Linked DNA regions of Yarrowia lipolytica. The main gene of each other region encodes a partner of the protein of the gene in region 3 in a complex. Links are inferred from orthologs where the notes say so. Each region holds a gene or a part of one and is shown on either strand. Other genes may lie near its edges. The genes, in order: YALI1_F05624g, YALI1_F28112g and YALI1_A17515g.

Region 1 (8,180 bases), on a different chromosome or scaffold from region 3:
AAGTGGGTCGTCGATTTTGATTTTCAAAGTCTTTCTAGAAACATCTTAATCCCGAGAGTATTTTGGCGCCATTATTTCCCCGATATCTCGCGTTCTGACCGCCTATGATTGACTCTTGTCACCCCTCCCACCCCCACCACGCCTTGTTATCATCATGACGTCACCCGTACGCACAAGGGTTCCCCGCAACGGTCTAAACAATGTCACGGAATCCAAATGCTAATACAAGAATGTGCGAGCATCTACGAGCATCTACGAGCATCGCACTGGATTGCACTTTGGGGCCATTGACGTCTCCAGCTCGTATCGCTTCTTTGGCGGTACATGTGTCGGCTTTTGACCCGGCGTTTGCTGCCAAGCCGGCCAAAAAGTAACGTGAAAGAAAAGGAAAAACGGTACGGTTCTTGAATCAAAGGAATGCAGGACTGAAACAGACGTGATGGAATGCGGGGTGAAGAAGTGAGTACATGTTGGAGTAGAGGCTGGTGTGTGGGTTGGACGTGTACAAGTAGGTACAGAACAGTGCTATAATTGCTGGACATACAGCACTCGTCTGTAGCCCATTTGTTCTAGTCTGGCGGCGTTAGCCAGTAGTCCCGCATGACGTACTCTGGATGTCGAACTGGAACCGTCAAGTCCGCAGTGTCGATAGTCGGAGCTATCTTTATACAATCTTGTACACGCCGTCCTAATACCCCTACTTGTAGATCTACCCTCCACTCTAGCTCTACTGTTATGAGCAATGTCTCATAGAAGACAGTCAGAGGACACACTTTTGATTACTGTCTCACAAGTTGGATTTCCATCATTGAGAAGATTGCAAGAGGCAAATATGGTCTCAATACCTACTATCTGCTGTCAATACCCACTGAGTGCACTTATAATCTCTGCAGAGGCTGTGAGACTTGTTATGAGGCGTCAGTAGAAGTGGAAAACTCTAGTTGGGAGAATTACTTGGTAATAGTTGAGTAAAAAAGTGTGCTGGGGGTCCTTATCAGTCGAACCAGACAAGCAAATACAAAACAGACTACATCAGTTGATTTGAAAGAAGTACTTTACCTATTAAAAACCCAGTTACAGAAATACTTACTGCTCTTCTGGTGTGATATATTCATTCTTTGGTTGCTTCTCAAGTAAATCCAGTTGAACTTATACTTAAGTTTGTCTAACCCACTAGTTATGGATGTCCGTTCTCTAATGCACTCATAACTCGCTCAATATCAGAACCAGCGAAAACCAAGAAGGTCTGAAAAGATTCAAAGAGTCAGGGGAACAATTTTGGTACCATTTTCGTCCATTTTCTTCTCGAGATTTTTGTTCCAAAGAAAGGTCTTGTCGTGAAAGAACTCACTAAAAGAGATTTAGATCCATCCCTTGGCTGGTCCGGTGATGTGGGGAAGGGTTAAACTGGACTGGCCGGTTAGTCTGAGAGGTGGGACTGAGGAGATTGGTCCGAGGGGTTTTGCAGAGACTGGTGGCAGTCCTGTTTCTTTGCATCATCTACGAACGCTTCATATTACAGTCTGTATATTGGGTACATCAAACTCGATACTATTTACTCCTCCTCCTTGACTTTCTCCTCCGCCTTGACTTTCTCTTCATCTTCTGCCTTCACCTCCCCATTCTCTTCCCTATCCTTGACATTCTCAATGGCCTTGAAACCTTCAACCAGGTCCACGGCCGACAGCTTCTGAGCCAGAGGAGCGACGAGCGAAATGGCCCGATCGACAGCCACCTGGACTCTCTGAACAAGAGGAGGAGGTGAGCCGGTCACAGACAAATCAGAGAAGGAAATCGTGGCTTCCATGGCGTCGATCTTGATGTTGGCCGACTTGCCATCCTCAGAAACAATGTACGAGTCTCCAAACTGAGCTTTCAGAATCGAAGACAGCTGCAGAACTCGTTCGTCGAGAGAGGAGTTTGAGTGGCCGTCTTCATGGCCATGAGAATGGGCACATTGCTTGGAAGACATCTTCACCGACGCTCTGGAGTTGTCCACTGTCAGCAAAATGGCCAGAACAGCGTCGGCAATGGAGTCGTTGAGACAGGAACCCACCCATTCAATGGTGCAACTTGTGGGAGTGTGTTTCACTGTGACCGAGTTCATCACGACGAATGTGGTTCCCGCAGAAGTGTCGGAATCACCCTCAACCTCTTGTTTGAACTCCTCCGCAACCTCCTCCTCCTTCTTGACCTCCTCCGCGGTCTCATCCTTGACTTCACCCTCCATGGTCACATCTTCTACCTCCTGTTTCACCTCCTTGTCCTCCTCCTCCTCAGCCACGTCGTCCTCCATCTCCTCAATCTTAACGTTCTCCGTCTCTCTCATTTCCACGTATCCAAACATCTGTTCGAGATGGTACTTGACCAGATCCACTCCTGCGTTGACCGTCACAGTCTGTCGCTCCAGAACGGAAGAGGTTGACAGTCCAACGTGTTCTCTCAGGTCAGCAACGCCCATGAGTCCGTAATTGAAGTCTTTCTGCACAACCACTCCAGAAATTATTTGACCAACATGCGGCTTTTCCTCGGCCATTTTGCCAACCGTCTTGGCCACCTTCACGCCCTTGAACGCGAGCTCGACTTCTTCGCAATTTCGAGGATTGTAAATGGTCTTCTCTCTAGGACTGTTCTTCAGGCCTCGATACTTGGCCAAAAGAGCAGCCTTGAGACGCTGCATGTTGTTGAGCTCACCGTGGACCAGAATGATGTTTTTGGAATCCACGAGATCGATGAACTCAGAGTTTTGCTGGAAATCCACGTGGGCAGCAAACGAGAGCTCCTCCACCGCCAAACGTCGCGGAACCTTCAGGTCCGGATTCTGAGCTGAGGGGATCTCATTAGGCTCGTTGATAATCTGTTTCGCCATAGTTCCTTCAACCGAGTAACCCGTCAAAATGAGCGTGTTTTTCGGGTCAGGTGCCCATCTCTCCAACAGAGACCTCGAAACACCGCTCTGCAACATTCCAGGAGACGCCACCATCACACAGGGACCCATGTCGTCGAAACGGTCCAAATTCTTTATGTTTTTGATATACTTGAACCGGAACGGGTTTGTTTTCTGGTCTCGGAAACGTCTTCTGATGTTGTCGTTCATCATGTTGATGTAAGTCTGGTAAACAGCGATACACTTTTTGGCCAGAGCAGAGGCGTAGTAGATGGAGAACTCCTGGAGGTCAGGGTGGGCTTCCCAGTACTCATCGAGAATGAGAAGAATCTCCTGGGCTCGTCCAAGAGCAAATACTGGTAACAAACACTTTCCGCCCTTGTCTAGTGTGCTGTGAATCAGTCCCGTCAGTCTCTGCTCACGTTCTAGACGCGGCAAGTGAGTTCCGGTGCCGTATGTGCTTTCACAAATGAGAATGTCTGGTTTCATGGGCGGCACCTCGGCCTGGTTCAAGTGACGGTCCTCTTCTCGAGAGTAATCGCCGGTGAACAGCACCTTGACGCCACCGACTTCTATCGTGTACATGGCTGCTCCGAGCACGTGACCGGCATGGTACGCTGTGAACTTGACTCCGTTAACCTCCATGGTGGAGTGGTAGTCGATGGTTTCAATTTTGTTGAACGAGGCGGTGAGGTCGGCCTCCGAGTAGAGATCTGGGTCCGATTCGGCTCCAGAGGTGACTCGCACAAAATCGGACAAGAGCCATCTGTAAATACCCTTGGTGGGATGGGTCATGAATACCCGGCCCTTGAAGTTGGTCTTCTGCATCACATAAGGGAGAGAAGCAGCGTGGTCCAGGTGGAAATGTGAAATGAGAAGAATGTCAATGGTTGAGAGATCGAACTCGTCGTAGAAAGGCAGGGAGGCGAGGCCGGAATGGGCAGGATGCACGCCGGCATCGAGCATGATAGTCTTGCCTTTGAACGAGATGACGTGACATGATCGGCCAACTTCTCGGCCACCTCCGAGCGCCACGAATGAAAATGTGTCGGAGTCGTCGGTCTGGGTTAGCGGGAACTGAAAAGAGGAGCCGTGAGTCTGGCCCTGACAAATATTTGATATATCGTAGACAAATGAGATCCCAAAGAGCCGTAGTCGGATTCAGCACTGGCAATTCAGTCAGTACCAACAGAAGAAATCTTGAGCGATCAATAACTTGACAGTGGCTACTGCAGATTTGGTGGTCGCCTGTGGATTGCTGTAGGCAGAACGTCTAGTCTGACATGCTGACAATTATCGACAAGATGTAGGGGATTTTTAGGCGACTTGACAATGACAATAACGCAGAAGTGGTGAATTGGGCGGTCAGCATGGAAGAGTACTAGACACACCCTCATACGGGGGAGCAACCGCTGGGAGATGGGTCAGTCTAACAGAGAAGAAAACGCCGCAGTATTGTGAACAGAGAGCACGGAACTGCTTTTCACGAGTGTAGGGGGGATCGTGGCTATTCAAGTGACACAGACTGAATGGTACAAACAACCAAGAACCATAAAATCGCCACACAAACAGCCTCGGCGTCTCAGTACATGAGCTGACCTTTCTGAGCACGAGGTCTGCCCACGAGTAGAAAGTGGCCCGCGAGTAGCAAGTGACTCACAAGTAGAAAGTTGCCCACGAGTAGAAAGTGACCCACGAGTAGAAAGTGACCCACTCTGAAGCACATGATCTGCCCACTCCACCGCGCCATCCTCCACCTGCTATCGTCTACACCTGGACGGTACTGCACGTTAAGTCACCATACCTCCGTCCCCATGAGACAGGCTGTAGTCAGTGTCAGACTGCAGATCACATGATTGGTCACGTGACCTGGTCCCCTGCCGCTCTCTCTCTCTCTCTCTCTCTCTCTCTCTCTCTCTCTCTCTCTCCTCTCTCTCCTTCTCTCTCTCTCTCTCTCTCTCTCTCTCTCTCTGCCAGTCCATCCATCCATTCATCGCTAGTCATCCACTCAAGTCTACGGCGGCGGCCTGTACCGCCATTTCCTCCGTCCGTGGTCATATCTCTCTGCGAATTGTCGCATTTCGTCGCGCTGGGCTCCACGTGGTTGGCTCCAACCGTCCAACCATCACGTGACTTCAAATACTCACCTGCGATTCGCGTTTTTCAGCCATGATCCGAGTTTCAACTGGTTGTTCTGTTTGGTGGTTACACACTGTTTTCGAAATGTTCACAACTTAATGTAGTCTCGCAGATGAACTTTATTTGGCTGGAGGAGACAGGACAGATGGGGGCCCAAAAGGGATTATAGAGATTTTTCAGAGATGGGGAATTGTCTGTGGGTTTATTATAGCCCTGTTTTGATCTGTTTTATGTTTTTCGGTTTCTTATTTGGTCAACTTCCAACAGTTAATGTTTTATAGCTATATCTCTGCCAATAATAAACATAATAGTCCCCTAATTGCACCATTGTCTTCTTGAGATTCCCAGGAGTAATTTGATACCAAAATTGTTTATGAAGAATTTCAATCACCAACATTTAGATCCCTCATTCATCTGAACTCAGCACGAAATAGATCGACCCGACGCAACGCAACATCACCATAATTAAAAACTTGGGCAAGGTAATTTCCGAGCCGCACGGCTAGGGGTGGTGTTTCGAACTCGCTGAAAAAAGGACCAATATGAACGACTTTAGAATCAGCGTGTACTCCAGGGCCGCTGAATCTTTTCAGTCCAAAAAACCCACCTGTTGTGATAATAAATTCTCCATTTCTGGACACCCCAACATGTTTGACGGAGGACATTCGCCGTTATAAGATGATATACGTGATTTATCACATTGATGGCTCGCTCCACAACACTCTACAGTACCCATCCAATCCAAATAATTCAACTATACACAATATTAATGCTCTGTGAGTTCCTCTTCACAGATTTCTCTAGCAGGGAGGAAACAAAAGACTGTCTCACACAGTGGGGCACATTGCCCAAAGACAGCGCTGCGCTCCTCGTGCTAGCTCACCAAGACTCGTTACTCGTCTTGGCCGTCTAGGCTCTTTGCTTAGATGCCGAGACCCATACTTCTCGCCATGGCCTTCATCTGAGGATTGTTCTGTACCATGTTCATCATCTGGCCCATGTCAGGCATTCCTCCAGGGAACATGCCCTGCAGAGCACTCATGTCAGGCATACCACCTCCCATACCGGGCATTCCACCCATTCCGGGCATACCGCCCATTCCAGGCATTCCTCCCATGCCGGGCATTCCTCCGGCTCCTCCGCCCATCATCTGCTGGGCCCGTCTTTGAGCTGCAGCCATCTGGGCAGGGTTGTTCTGGGCGTTCTGCATTCGTGACATCATGCCGTTCTTGCCGCCCATTCGCGACGCCATGGAGGCCATCATCTTCTGCTGCTGAAGCACCTCCTCGACTTCCCGGATGGAGGTTCCCGAGCCCCGGGCAACTCGTGTGATACGAGAAGGCACCTCCTTGAAAATGGATCCATCCGAATCCAGCTCCTTCTGGTTCATAGAGTCGAGAATGTAGATCATTCGCTTGATTCGACGGGTACCCTCTTCGTCGGAAATGGAAGACGCCATGCCCGAGAGTCCCGGAATCATGCCAGCAATGGAGGACAACGATCCCATCTTGAGCATGTTGCCCATCTGGTCTCTGAGATCCGCCAGTGTGAAAATACCCTCCTGAATGTGCTCCATGGTTTTCTTCTGGTCGAGATTCAGACTCTGCATCGTCTCCATGAGACCTTGGAGGTCGCCGATACCGAGCAGCTTGGAAATGAACTGCTTGGGCGAAAACGCCTCGAGATCGTGAATGTGCTCTCCGGTACCAATGAAAATGATGGGGGTGTTTGTGGCTGCCACCGCAGAAATAGCTCCTCCACCCTTGGCGTGTCCGTCCATCTTGGTGAGGATGATGGAACCAAAGTCGGAGGCGTCCTTGAAGGCACGTGACTGGGGCTCGGCGGCCTGGCCAATGGAGGCGTCGAGCACCATGATTGTCGAGTCCGGTTTCACAGCAGCGCCAATATCCACCATTTCCGTAAACAGTTCGCTTTCCTGTCGATGTCGTCCGGAGGTGTCGACGATGATGATTTCAAACTTCTCCTTCTTGAACTTGGCTACTCCCTCGGCTGCCACCGCCACGGGGTCTGTTTCTGTGTACGAGCCAAAGAAGGGGATCTTGGCCTTGGTGGCGTTCTGTTTGAGCTGGTCAAACGCTCCAGCTCGGAAGGTATCGGCACACACCAATCCCACCTTGAAGCCTCGCCGCTGGTAGTAGACAGCCAGCTTGGTACATGACGTGGTCTTTCCGGATCCCTGCAGACCCACAAACATGACCACATTGGACTTGCCCTTCTGCGGCTTGAACTTGGCGGCAGAAGCAGCGCTCTCGTCCACCCCAACCAGATTGACCAGCTCGTCAAACAACGCCTTTTGGATCACCTTCTTCTTGGAGGCACCGTTGGGCGTCGCCTTAACACTGTTCTTGACCTTTTGTCGAAGCTGTGAAACCAGCTTGATGTTCACATCGGACTCTAGAAGAGCCGAACATACCTCCTTGAGCATCGCATCCAGCGCCTCGTCAATATCGCCGCCCTTCGACAGGTTGGCAAACGCGCCGTTGATTCGTTTTCCGAGGTCTTCAAGAACCATCTTTAACGACTTGTACTTGTTCTGATCGTGACCACTGTAGTAGTGACGTAGATGCAGTAGGCGGGTCTGGGTGATCCGGTAGGGTAACTCGATAGAGTTTGACATAACCGATAACGTGAGATGTTGGTATATGGGGTCGACCCGTTGTTGGGAGATCACGTGATCCTCGAGGGGGTTTACGGGTGATATGTTTTTTGGCCGGTATTTTTTTTGTTTTTACCGGTATTTTGTGTTTTTTACCGGTATTTTGTGTTTTTTATCGGAATTTTCCATTTTTCAGATTTTTCCATTTTAAATTTCACCTCATATTCAACGCGCGTTTTATCACACTGTGACGGATTTTGTCACGTAGAAATGCATTTTATTTACACCATTTAATTCCCCAACTTTCGCTCTATCCAATGGTATACATATCTCAGCTGTCTCGGATATATAGCATCTTCTGAAGACCCTCCCCAGGTTCTCCTCTACTTGTAGTTGAAGTCGTCGCAATGGCAACTACTTACATGGGACGATGAGAACACCCACAGACAGGCTGGATTCAGATGATTTTGCAAGCAGTGCGGACTTTTGACCATGCCTCCAGAAGTCTCCAAGTTCACGGAGACCGAAACAGATTCT
Region 2 (6,085 bases), on a different chromosome or scaffold from region 3:
TCCTACTTTGCCTTTTCCTTTGCCTTTCTCTTGGTCTCCGCTTGTCCGGGGTAACATTATTACAGCTGGTACAATATTCGGGTAAAAGCCACGACGTTAGGTTCGTAAAGTAGGTTCTTGAGGTTCCCATAGTCATATATTCCTGTGTAGGGCACGGGACCGGTGGGCTAGTATGTACTATAGTGTTGAACTGGACGGTACAACGGTGCCGAGGCAAAACATAGTTGAACAAGTAGTTCTATGAAACAACGGGTGCACAAGGGATTCAAATTGCGGCTGATGCACTTTGTGCTTGGTTTGTGCATGCCAGTATCATGACCTATCTTGTGAGACATATGACATAACGAGGAAGAAAAAGAGAGGTAAAAACTGACTTGCTTCTTGCGGGACAGTCTGGGGTAGCGGGGATCAGCAACCTTAGCAGTCTGGGGCACGATCAACGAACTATCGGGGTACAGTACTTACAGGTTCAGTGACAGAGCTCCTCATACCACTTTCACTTACGGAAATCGCGGCTTTTAGTCCGAGATCCCAGTCCCACTGGCTTTCAAGACTCATCCGAGCTGCATGCCACATCCGGTATTGCGGACCCCATGCAGGTGGCAGCGAAAAAGAAAAACAAGCACGCGTACTCGTAGCTAGGAGAAGAAAGGCAGATACGAGCAAGAGAATGAGTAAACAAGACGTCATACCGTTTGTTCGAGCTTGCTTGTTCCATGTCTATACTGTCTGTAGCCTGCCAATTTGTCTCTGCATGCCACATTCTATGCCGGATGTACTGATGATTTCTTCCGTCACTAGAGATTGTTCACTTGTAATTACCCATCCGCGGGCCAACTGCTAAATTACTGTATACCAGCTCAAAGCTTCACTAGTTGACCGTGTCTAAGGACTAATACCATACATACTGGCGACACCGGGCGCCTAATATTACCTATTTGACTTGCGCGCCAGTCCGATTCGGTCGAGATATGCCGCCTTCTCGCCCCATTCTCTGCCGCCTCATTATCTTTTTTCTCGTCGCCTAGATTGGCTACACCCGTTCTCTGCAGCGTCGGCAAACTTTACCCCGGAAAGCCGGCTTCCTACGATAAGACAGGTTATGCAGTAGACCCACTACAGTACAGCGATATCGGAGCTCGGCTTTTGCTCCGATACAAGTAATTGAAATGCATTCGGATGGTTGAGATTAAGAGCTTGCCTTTCCACTACTATTGAAGACAGTTGTGCTGAGTCTCATAATGTAAAGTGTAGATGCTAAATTGCGGTACCTCTACTGTAGCTATATTTCTCTGAGCTCAGTCTAGACCTCCATCATCTTTTCCTCGGACACAAGGACTGCCCCACCATTCCTTTCAGATGAAATTGTGGCGTTTTCAGATGCCGGACATACTTCCGTGAGTGGTTGAAATTGATTACAAGTGATTACAAGTGGATTCGAACGACACTCACCCCAGTATCGTACATTCACTCTATCAACCATACTCATCCGCCTCATCCACGGCTGAACTCAGATAGTAAACTCACCTTGGACCGACGGAGACTGGGATATAAATATAAAACATGCTGTAGCTTCCTCGCTGCTACGGGAATCGGAAGCTCGGAGGACCCGGCGCGCAATCAACGCATCCGAAATTCTTTTTATAAATTCCGGTACGACTATAGTGATTGGAGCAGCTTTTGGATATACACAAGGTAGGAGGTTTGGATCCACCCCTTTGATTAAACTACTTTTGAAAGACACACATGACTCCACTCATTTTTAGATCCACCCATAGCATGAGATGTTCTACAGGTGATCAGGATCCGAACATGGCCCCTGGCTGTGTACTGTAGTCAGTTATACGAGTAATCACCAAACAGATACTTGTGCTCGTACACCTCATTACCCCTTAGCTACTCGTAGTCTTCCATACTCTACTCTCCTCCGTAGGCCCAGCAGGTCACGTGCCTTGGTATGGCAAATGGCAAATAGGTAAATTCACGCTGTTTTAATTGCGACGTCGCAAATGAAGGGAATATATTTCCAAGTACTCCCTACAAGTAGTTGATAATGAACCATTGTCTCAATAAATAGTAACCCCTTTCTATTACTAATCACAGCTAGACCAATAGAACTCCGTACAATTGCAGAGTTTGGGATAACCCAGATACCGCATCGACGCACCTCAGGCCGGGTAAGCTCCGCATCTTCATTCTCCAGTGCAACTATCTAAAGCAAATCAAGACCAGATTATTGGAACATCTTAACCACTCACACAACACACACACACAATATACAATGGCCTTTATGCAGCGATCCATCTTTGCTCTCCGAGCCGCTACCCCCGCTATGCGGGCCCCCGCTTTCCGAATCGCCCCCTCCATGCGACGATTTATCTCCACCGAGACCAAGGATGCCATTGAGACCGCCATTGGCACTGCTCCCGTGGTTCTCTTCATGAAGGGCACACCCGAGTTCCCCCAATGCGGTTTCTCTCGAGCCACCATCCAGGTGCTTGGCCACCAGGGCGTCGACCCCCAGAAGTTTGCTGCCTTCAACGTTCTTGAGGACGAGGAGCTGCGTGAGGGCATCAAGGAGTTCTCCCAGTGGCCCACTATCCCCCAGCTGTACATCAACAAGGAGTTTATTGGCGGCTGTGACATTGTCATGTCTATGAGCCAGAGCGGCGAGCTCGCCGAGATGCTGCAGCAGCAGGATCTGCTTGCACCCGAGGAAGAGGAGCACATGGAGTAAGCGTGCGACTACTCTGACGTGGACGGTGACGACTGATTACAAGTCAGGAGGATATATATTTGCAATGTACATATTATAGAGTGTTGTTGTTGGTGATTGGATCGTAGTTTGTGCGTTAGTAAGAGTATGTATGTACACACATTCAAGGACAACATGTATCAGCCTCGAACATCTCAGGGCCGTGATTAGGATATGTATGTCGCTTCCGCCCGAGATAATGTGCATACTTACGGAATCAATTGCTCCACCTTGTAAAACGATCACTACATTTGGTCTCAGTAGAGCAATGAAAGCTTGTACATCACCCATTTGTTCGAGTACAATCCCAGTAACCGAACTACAGTATAGTTCACATATAGCTTTTACGTACTGCTGACCATTTGCCACTTTCAATGTTCATGTATTACCCTGCTTTTTTTGTTCATTCCCTTATCCCTAGATTAGTAAAGCCTTGGTGTCGCCTTCAACTCATAAGACCGCTCAGAAACCCTGCCCTCATCAGCTTGACACAGATAGTGAGAAGGGATGTCCACTCGTGCCTTTCAGCTGGACCCGATGGACCTTTGAGAACAGCTCCATTGAGAGTGGGAGCTTACGCTCTTGATTTGCTGTGTTGCAAGGGCACTAGTAGGGGTACAGATGTCATTTCAGTTCAAAGACCTACTCTTGTGCCATCTGCACGCCCTTGCAGCCTCGGACCTTTTACCAGATAGAAAACATCATAGAAACCACACCACACAAGTTACTCACCTGGCATGTAAAATGCTTAGAATCGCGGGGGTCGTCGTTCAAAGTAGCTGGAGGTGGACATGAAGGCCACGGAGGTGTCAAAAACCCACTCGCCGACATCGAGGTATCGCTCGATGTACGAACGAGTATCCTTGTTCTCAAAGTCGTTGGTCTTGATGGTGAGACCAGTAGATCGCTTGACACCGGCCAGAATGGTGGAGACCAGAACAAGGTCAAAGGAGAAGTGGAAGAGTCTACCGAGCTGAGTTAGCATGAGGAGGCGGGTGGTCGCACGTGCTGATAGAGGCACCAGCAGACATCCTAGAGAAGTATGAATTGCAGGAGGAAAGCGTGGTAGCATTTCAATCTCCCTAATCAGTTTTCGAGTTACTCACAGTGCCCATTATGCCTGGAAATAGTAGTAGGAAGAGAATTTTTGAAGTGGCGTAGAGTACGTGAAGTAAACATTTGGAACAATGGGGCAAATAAAGTTTATGACAATCAGTCAGAGCTGGCTATTTGGCCTGTCTGACCGTTTGACATGTTTCGCCACATGTTTGCTGTTATGCGTAATTAAAACATCCGTATGGTGACCGTGTGTGAATTATATACACTCTCTTCTCTAACCTCGCTACTGTACACTCTACTTGAGGCATCACAGACACCCCTTGAGGTGGGACAACCTAATTTTCTACTCACGTGACCTAATACATCGTCAACCTAAAAAATACACCAAACGAAACGCATAATAGATCGTCACATTACAAACTACGCATCTTACGGCAGAAGAGAAGCCAAGGAACGGGAAAAAATGGAATCGGTTCCGGCAAGTATCGAGACATACAAGACGCTTAAGCCGTCCAAAACGCTCCGGTACCACCATAACGACCCCATCACATCGCTCGATTTCGATGACACTGGAGCCTACGCCGTCACAGCTGGAACAGATGAATCCATTCAGCTGTATTCGGCTCACAAGGGCACTCACCAGCGATCCAGCTACTCGAAGAAGTATGGCGCGCATTTGGCCCGGTTCACACACAACAGCATGAGCATCGTCTACGCTTCCACCAAGGAAGATGACACAATTCGATATCTGTCGTTGCACGACAATTCGTACATCCGGTACTTTAGAGGCCACAAGGACAAGGTGCACGCGCTCAACGTGTCTCCTATCAGTGATGTGTTGCTTTCGGCATCAATGGATCACACTGTGCGGCTATGGGATCTCCGGTCGCCCCACTGTCAGGGAGTTTTGAACCTGGTGAGCCCGAATCTGATTGCATTTGATCCCCGAGGTCTGTGTTTTGGCGTGGCCAACACATCGGCCCAGGACCTGTCTTTGTACTCTGTTTCTGCATGGGGATCCGACCCCTTCGCCACGTTTGCTCTTCCTGCTCCCCCTGGAGACGGATGGGCCTCTGTAGAGTTCTCCAACGACGGAAAGTATATTCTCTTGGCGACTTACGGAGAGCAGCACCACGTCATTGATGCTTTCACGGGTAATCTTACGCACAAGCTCGTTGGCCACCACCCCTTAAGACGCGATCAGGACAACATGCGGGGCGGCTCCACTCACACTGCATTCTCTGTGGACGGCCGCACAGTGTTTGGCTGCTCGCGAGACGGCAAGATTATTGTCTGGGACTTGCAGGACCGAGTCGACGAGCGAGGACGACTGTACCCTTCCAAGGCTCTCAACTGCGCACCCAACGCAGCCTCCCCTCAGATTCTTGGTGTCAATCCAGCCTCCATGCAACTGGCCACAGCAGATAAAGAGCTTACTTTCTGGCTGCCGGAAAAAGACGTGGCCGAGCCTCCAAAGGAGGCATAGATGTGGTAAAACCTCCAGTCTGCCACAGCTGTGCACCTCGGTTATTATGAAACATGACTCTAGTGTGCTTGCGTACATATTTTCACGGGGGTGGACCGAAAAGGTTCTCACACGACAGTATGATTAGTGGTCTCGACGCACGCACCATGGGGGTATCCCAGGTTCCATGCACGTGGGGAAAGCCTGCGTCAGAGTATCCTGTGCTCTCACTGAACCAGTACCAGTATTGTACAATGACTTGACTTTACAACGCACGTTGTTGTGTTGCTGTTGCTCGAGTGTTCCTGGCAGCTTGAGCTTGCGGACCTGCAAATGATCAAATTATCGGACCATGATGAGATCCAACTTCCTGGCGCTTTCCCACATAATATCTAACTGAATAATATATAATGAAACACACAACTGTGGCTAATTTTTATCTCTGGCTGTGGTGGCGAACGAGTGGTACGAAAAGCACACCAGCATCGAAAAACGGCCCGCGTAAAACGTCCTATTTTGTACAGTGCAAGCTCCTTGTGTGGACGCCATACGGGAGGATAGAGTATCGTGTATACAGAACACGTCTCCTTCCACAGAATGTTTTGAATTGAAACCGGTCAGGGATTCCAGCAGTAGCTCGAGCCGGCTACGACGTCTTGGGGGGATTGTCGCCATACTCCCGTTTCCCGTGGTTTCAACTACGTACTCCACCGTTCACATTCGATAAATCAGAACCGTCTGATATCGAAGGTGCCAAATGCCGAACCGGATTTCTACTGCATTCTGGACTATGCCGACATGCATCC
Region 3 (6,765 bases):
CAACCCAGAGTCTCAGTGGAACGGAGAAGATGATGATGGCGACCTCACCCAGATTGATCCCTTTCTCCAGTCTCAAACCCTCTCTCCCACCCAACCTCCTGGTCCAGCTACTGAGCCTCCAGTTATGAGCCAGACTTTTGTTGATCCCCCCAGTTCGTCGCAAGCATCTCCCCCATACCAATTCAAGCACTCTCGGTCTGCGAGGCTAGCACCATCGTCGTCGCAGTCCTATCTGCCGGTGAAGCCAACCCCATTGTCGCAGCCAAGGAGATTCTCTGAGACTTCTACGTGGAAACGCACCGTTGACGATATGCCTTCTTTGGGGGCTTCTCCTGTCAGCTCGCCCCCCAACTCTCCGAAAAGAGCCAAGTCGTGGAAGAAGCACTTTACCCCTGCAGATACAGACGTTCGGAGCGGGAATGGGATGGTCAGCAGAGGAACACAGACCGAGGACCCCGAATGGCTGACTGACACGCAAGCTATGGAGAACCACATTGTGGATGTGGTCCAAAATCCTTTGTTCGACGCATATGTTGCACGCATCAAGGAGTTGATGAAAGGCGACCAATTCGAGAAGGACGGATTCTGAGAGAAGGGGGATGTGTATATTAGTTGTAATAAAAGTATTGTGATGTAGTCTTTTGGTTTTTTTCACGATATAGTCCAGTTTAGACTGTTGTCATCTACCTGGTCAAAGGAATAGTGAACAAGTATAGAAATATAGAAATGAGAGGCCGTTTTCTCAATTTCATGAGCTCTAGAAACCCGTCCATATCTTCCAATTGATAGCTTTCAACTACAGTACCGTATGTACTTGGGTTCTGTTAATACCAACTACGATTTCCACTATAGTCGCATCTACCTGTCTCCAATATTGATATAGCAATTGATAGAAAAGAGCCACCAGTCGGTTCTATAGAGGCTTTCTTATTCGATTGGCATTGTTTGTACGACTAATAGTCATTATATTATCCTTCTCTGAATCGGCGATGGTGTGGCCTTCTACATAGCATGTAGTATATACAAGAGTGTAGAGTAACATACAATTCATTAATTAAATGAAAAACAAGTCTTATCATACCATTGGTAGACAGTACTAGACAAGAGATGACTTTGCATGGACGGTCTTTCTTGCCTTATGCTAATTGTGACCATGCCAGACAGAGGACTTTCACTTGAGTGATTGCGCGTGGGCAATTGAGTCACGTCCCACTGTGTTTAGTGCCCCCATCATATCCCATCATATCAGATGCTCGGTGCTGTTGTATCGCCTGTCCATTGTGTCACGTGTTATGGTGTCGTATGCTTCTTATCACGTCCCTCTTTCCGACTATCTAGCAAAACCCGGAATGGAGACCGGCTCGTCATCGGTCACCTCGGGCTGGGCAGTGTTGAAATGCTGAGTAGACACGTGCTCGACACGAGCCATGCCGGCCCGGCTGGTGGCATTGTTGACTCCGGGCAGCGTCTTGACTGAGACGCCTTCCTCCTTGGGTTCGTAGTACTTGTCTCTGAAGGAGGTGGGGTCTCCGGGCCGAGGTCGTGCCCAGAAACGAGTCATTCGGTCGAGACCTCCCGAACAAAGCACGTGGCCTTCGGGGTGGTAGTCCAAAGTAGAAACGCAGTAGTCGTGGGCCGAGGGGATGGTGTTAACAGGCAGAATTCCCGAGTCCGGTCCATACGCTCCTCCGGCGGGAGTTGTGTCGACGTTGAAGGTGTAGATGGAGCCTGTTTTGGTGCCCGAGGTGACCACGTTGGCGTGTGTGGGGTGCCATGTGAGCGAAAACACGTCCGAATCGTGCCCTCGAAGCACGGCCATGGACCGATCTCCTCTGGTGGGCATGTCTGTTCCTGCTGTTGGTCCTGCTTCCGACGAGCCCGAGTTGAGCATTCTCAGATCGAGAATTCGGCATGTTCGGTCCCGGCATCCTGCAGCCAGAAGCCGTTTGGTACCAGTGGGCTGGAAGGTGGTTTTCATGACGGTGTTTTTGAAGCCGTGGAAAGTGTTGACGTTTTTGGCGGATCGAGGGTCCCACAGCTTGATGAGGTTGTCTTTCGATCCAGACACAATGAGGCCCAGCTCCGAGTGCCAATCGACCGACTTGACGTCCCAGCCGTGGCCCTTGAGCACCGACTCGGCGTTACTGCTCTCGTGGAAGTCCCAGATCTTGAGCAGACCGTCGTCCGATCCGGTGACAAACTTGTGGTCACTGGGCGCAAACGCCAGCTCTCTGATCGACTCACGGTGGGCCTTGTCGATCACGTTAACACAGTTGAGCGATGGCTGCCAGAACTTGACGTTGCCTTCATGGTCTCCAGACAAGAGCCATTCTCCAGAGTGCGAGTACTTGAGCGATCGAACTCCGCTCTCGTGCGCCTGCATGATTGACTCGAAATTGAACGTCATACCGTTCCACAGCGTGAACTCGCCGGACATGGAGCCTGTGAGGAGTCGTCGTCCATCAGGCGTCCAGGTGGCTGAGTACACCGGGTGCCGCACTTTGTTGAGAGCCACCTGGATGAACTTGGCCGGAGTGGCCGCCACGGACGTAATGTGCGGGTTGGTCGACCGCAGCGACCCGTTGATGTTGGTGTAGGCCGACGGAGGCAGCAGATCGACGATATACGACTGTTCCGATCGCATGTTGGCCGGTTGGATCGTGCGCCCACTCAGCCGGTCCAAATGCCACTTGCCGAACGCCGAGCCATGGTCAACGGTCCGTCTGTGCGCAGGTCGTCGATCTTCCTCGCCCTGCGGCTGCTGGCGCGGCTGGTACCCTGCTGGTCGCTGATAGGTGCTGTACATGGTGATCGTGACAATGAACTGAGTAAGTTGTGGTGCATAAAACGGTGCATAAAAAAATCCTGAGAAAATGTGAACAGATATTGGAATGGTACGGCGATGGAGAGGCCCAGAATCGGATGACATGTGTCTCGTGTGTCTTTTCGGCATATGTCATGTCAACTTTTCGGGCTTACTAATTCCGTTTAAATACTCAATCATTCACCTCTTGCACCTCTTAATCTGCATACTTATAGACTCGACATATGGCAGATATCTCGACAAAGCAAACGAACCGCCTGGAATCGCTCCAAATTTCCCGTATTTTTACTCGTAAAAATCCCGACCACAAAATATCCACTCCAGTATCCTCATTATTCCAAAAAATCGGCCACGGTCCCTTTCGAGACCAAAAAAGAACCTCCGATACCGGGAATCGAACCCGGGTTCTCCGCGTGAAAGGCGGAAGTGATAACCCCTACACTATATCGGATTTATGCGATGTAAGATCCGATCGTCTCTTATCTGCGGAATAGTTCTCAGTCGGTAGATTGTCGCTGTCTAATCTAACCGTTGCTCGCTGTCTGTAATACGTTCACAGGCTGGTGATAACTTGTCTTCTTAATCATACATAAATGTCCTTCTTATACTCCCATCCTCCGGGTGCGTCCCAGGTGGGAACAACAGTCACCCTTGCACGTGACCGGCACCGTCCCAAGCCCTTAGTAAGCGACTTGGTCCTTACATGCGATTTTCCAGATTCTGAGAGAGGGGCTCAGACGTCCGCTGACTCAGCGCGGCAAAACCTTGTGCACCAAATCTGCATGTTCCATCATCTGGTGCCAACATCCATCATCGGTTGTCTGGATCTTCAAACACACGCCATGTTCAAGAAATTCTCTCACGAAAACATCAACTCCAAGGCCAACGTCAAGTCGTCGTCGCAGCGGGCTCTCAAGGCCAAGCTCGTGGCGCAATTCCCCGATATGGAGCCTGTTGTCGACCAGATTATCCCCAAAAAGGCCCAGCTGGTCCACGTCAAGTGCCAGGACCGGATTTCTCTGTACACCATCGACGGTAAAGTCATGTTTTTCCAGCACTTTGACGACGAGCTGGTCCCCTCGCTACACCTGGTCCACCAGTTCCCCCAGTACTTCCCCTCGATAAAGACAGATCGAGGCGCCATCAAGTTTGTGCTCTCTGGCGCAAACATCATGTGCCGAGGCCTCACATCCAAGGGCGCAGAGCTGCCCGACGAGCCCATGGAGAAGGACCAAATTGTGATTGTCAACGCCGAGGGCAAGGAGCACGCGCTGGCGGTGGGCAAGCTGACCATGTCCACCAAGGAGATTGAGGAGGTCAACAACGGCATTGGAGTGGAACTTTTGCATTATCTGGGCGACGGTCTGTGGTCTTACCATGAGTAGATTGGGAACTTAGGGGACGAGGTTGATATCGAGTGACAAAACTTGTTGGTGTGGACACCGCAGCAAAACTCGTTGGTACTGTACGGGCACCAGCAACAAAATACTTATTACATTTATTCGCACTGTTAACCATTCGAGACGTATACCGATATATTTGGACGCTGTACAGTATGTGTTAGTTATAGGGCGACGTCGCATACTAATCACTGAATTAAAACGTCAACCTTTGTAGAATCCGTGACTCCGTAGAAATCCAACGTCTTGAGCTCGTCATACACCTCAATATCGTCAATGACAATGGTGCAGGAATGCAGAGGCGAAAAACCCTTGTTTCTTAGCACGCCAAACTTCATCTTTTGCACAGAGCTGTGTTTGTTGAGTCTCTGGGTCGTCGTACTCGTTCCACGGTCGACACGAGTGGTATACGTGACCTTCACAAACGCCTGACGGGCAGTAGGAAAGTTTTCAGTCACCCTGGGAGTTGCGTGGGCCTGTGAAATGCCCAGCGACGCTACCAGAGCGTCGAAATGGGTCTTGTTAGCCCCCTTGTCTCGTGGGTAGTCAATCTTGCCTTGTATGACCGAGTTGACAAAGTAGATGAGACTGTCCGAGCGTTCCTGGTCGGCCACAAACCGGCCATTGAGCGTACTCAGCTTCTTGTGCCATCGCGCAATGATCTGCGAGTCGATAGGCGACACAGAAAGATTGTTTGTGGAAAAGTCTTCTTTGGTGAACGGGTTGTCGTTGATCCGTAGGGATGTCAAGGACGGATAAATAATGCATAGCTGATCGAAATCGGACCACTGAAGGGTGTTGTAGGACACATCGAGCTCTGTGAGGGAGTCTGAACGGGGTAGAGTCTCCGCAGTCACGTTCTCCAACCTGTTCTGAGACAGGTTCAAGGACGTCAAAGAAGGGGGGAAGTGGAAGTGTGAGAGGTCATGCAGATTGTTGTAAGACAGATCGAGAAACTGCAGACGGGTATCCCGCAAATCGATCGACTTGATGGTCTTGTTATGGGCCAAAACCAGATGAGTGAGGTTAGGGAAGTGTTTGATGATTAGCAGTACTTCCTTCTCAGACAGCAAGGTGTTGGTCAATGACAAAGAGGTAAGAGAGGGAAACAATGAGTTCGGAGTACCTTCAGCATCCACTCTGAATCTGTTTCCGTTCAAAGACATCCACTCGACATGGGGTGTTGTCTGGAGACATTGGAGCACCGTTTCGAACGATGTAAAGAGATTGAAGGACAGATCAAGATGCACCACGCGAGCCAGAGGCAGACTATCAGTTTCATGGGCCTCTGAAACGCCCTTGTTGGCCAGATTTATGCTCGTCAGATTCTCCAGACCCTTGTTATCGAACCCCAACACCTGGCTCATTTTCGTACCAATCTTGATCTCGTCCACTCGTGATTCCGACGCGTATCGCTCAACCACAGCCTCCACAAACGATGTGCCATAGCGGACCTGCTTTTTGGCCAACGACGCACTTTTCAGGAACGATCCGGCTCCCAGTTGGGTGCATTCGAACAGTTGTGTACCCTTGACTGATCCGTTGTTTTTGCCGCGAGCTGGATCGTCCCACTCCACGCCGATCGCTTCTTCGTCGGGCCACACGGGCACGTCGGTTCCCACGTACCGTACTGTGCAATTGTTTCCATCTATCGACAGCCGTTGGTTGAGCATGTTGGTGTTTCTCATGTATGTCTGGGGTTAAGTTTTGTGGGGTGTTAGAGATGGATATCGAGACAAGGCTATGGTGGTACTGTAACTGTGACAAGTACTTGGATTTTCCCCAGCAAATTGAGAAGTCGTGATCTGATTATTAGTTTTTGTGTTTTTTTTTGAGAAGTACAATGCCATTTTTTGACATTCTGGCTTCCCATACTGGGCTCAATTATCAGCCCACTGATACTTGAAGATTCAAGTACGATACTTGAGGTGAGTCTATCAATACTTTGAAAAATTAAATATAAAAAAAACGTCTCAAAATAAGTACAGGAAATGTTGTGTCCCGATTTTCAGGATTTTCTCAGCTTTCTCTACGAGACAAGTACCCGTAGACACGGTATATTGTGTGATTTATTCGTAGCAAATTCGATTTATTCGTAGCAAATTCGAGTCATTTGATTTATTCGTAGCAAAGTCGACTTCTTCGTTTTATTCGTAGCAAATTCGACTTATTCGTTTTATTCGTATTTTCGACTCTGGTCGTCATTTCTTTTTTCCGGTTGCAACACTAAATATCTTCACCGCTGTAAACCGGTAGAGCTGTTAGCACCCGATGAGCCGACCGAACCGCCGCGGCCCCATCACTCTTTTAGCCCCAAAATTAATCACAAAAAGGACCCCAAAAATTCCCCAAGAAGCCGCCCTTATTTCCCGTGACCAGAGCCGTCCAACCATCGCCACAATTGCCCCATTGACACGGCCGATTAGGTTCAAGCACGCGCACTATTTTTCAAGACAGATCTGTGGGAATACTGTACGAATCTAGATGGAGACACGTCAAGCGATCGTAATAATAGCGACAGTGCTTACTCATCTGGTGTGT

What was found.
Region 1: YALI1_A17515g (region 3) and YALI1_F05624g share a complex: the UniProt entries of both Saccharomyces cerevisiae proteins name them as parts of the cleavage and polyadenylation factor (CPF) complex. The link is inferred for Yarrowia lipolytica from reciprocal best matches to the Saccharomyces cerevisiae genes PFS2 and YSH1.
Region 2: YALI1_A17515g (region 3) and YALI1_F28112g share a complex: the UniProt entries of both Saccharomyces cerevisiae proteins name them as parts of the cleavage and polyadenylation factor (CPF) complex. The link is inferred for Yarrowia lipolytica from reciprocal best matches to the Saccharomyces cerevisiae genes PFS2 and SWD2.

What each region holds. Positions count from the first base shown.
Region 1 is NC_090775.1:558,513-566,692, forward strand, and holds YALI1_F05624g (uncharacterized protein), read right to left. Parts: upstream 4,638-8,180; coding exon 4,548-4,637; intron 3,950-4,547; coding exon 1,556-3,949; downstream 1-1,555. Other genes in the region: YALI1_F05661g (uncharacterized protein), read right to left, coding at 5,949-7,664. UniProt on the Saccharomyces cerevisiae protein: Component of the cleavage and polyadenylation factor (CPF) complex, which plays a key role in polyadenylation-dependent pre-mRNA 3'-end formation and cooperates with cleavage factors including the CFIA complex and NAB4/CFIB. Has endonuclease activity.
Region 2 is NC_090775.1:2,806,951-2,813,035, forward strand, and holds YALI1_F28112g (uncharacterized protein), read left to right. Parts: upstream 1-4,277; coding exon 4,278-5,300; downstream 5,301-6,085. Other genes in the region: YALI1_F28092g (uncharacterized protein), read left to right, coding at 2,282-2,737; YALI1_F28107g (uncharacterized protein), read right to left, coding at 3,504-3,827; YALI1_F28123g (uncharacterized protein), read left to right, coding at 5,354-5,500, 5,580-5,675. UniProt on the Saccharomyces cerevisiae protein: The COMPASS (Set1C) complex specifically mono-, di- and trimethylates histone H3 to form H3K4me1/2/3, which subsequently plays a role in telomere length maintenance and transcription elongation regulation. Involved in mediating RNA polymerase II termination.
Region 3 is NC_090770.1:1,747,759-1,754,523, reverse strand, and holds YALI1_A17515g (uncharacterized protein), read right to left. Parts: upstream 2,954-6,765; coding exon 1,331-2,953; downstream 1-1,330. Other genes in the region: YALI1_A17546g (uncharacterized protein), read left to right, coding at 1-589; YALI1_A17511g (uncharacterized protein), read left to right, coding at 3,418-4,209; YALI1_A17486g (uncharacterized protein), read right to left, coding at 4,413-5,912. UniProt on the Saccharomyces cerevisiae protein: Integral and essential component of the cleavage and polyadenylation factor (CPF) complex, which plays a key role in polyadenylation-dependent pre-mRNA 3'-end formation and cooperates with cleavage factors including the CFIA complex and NAB4/CFIB.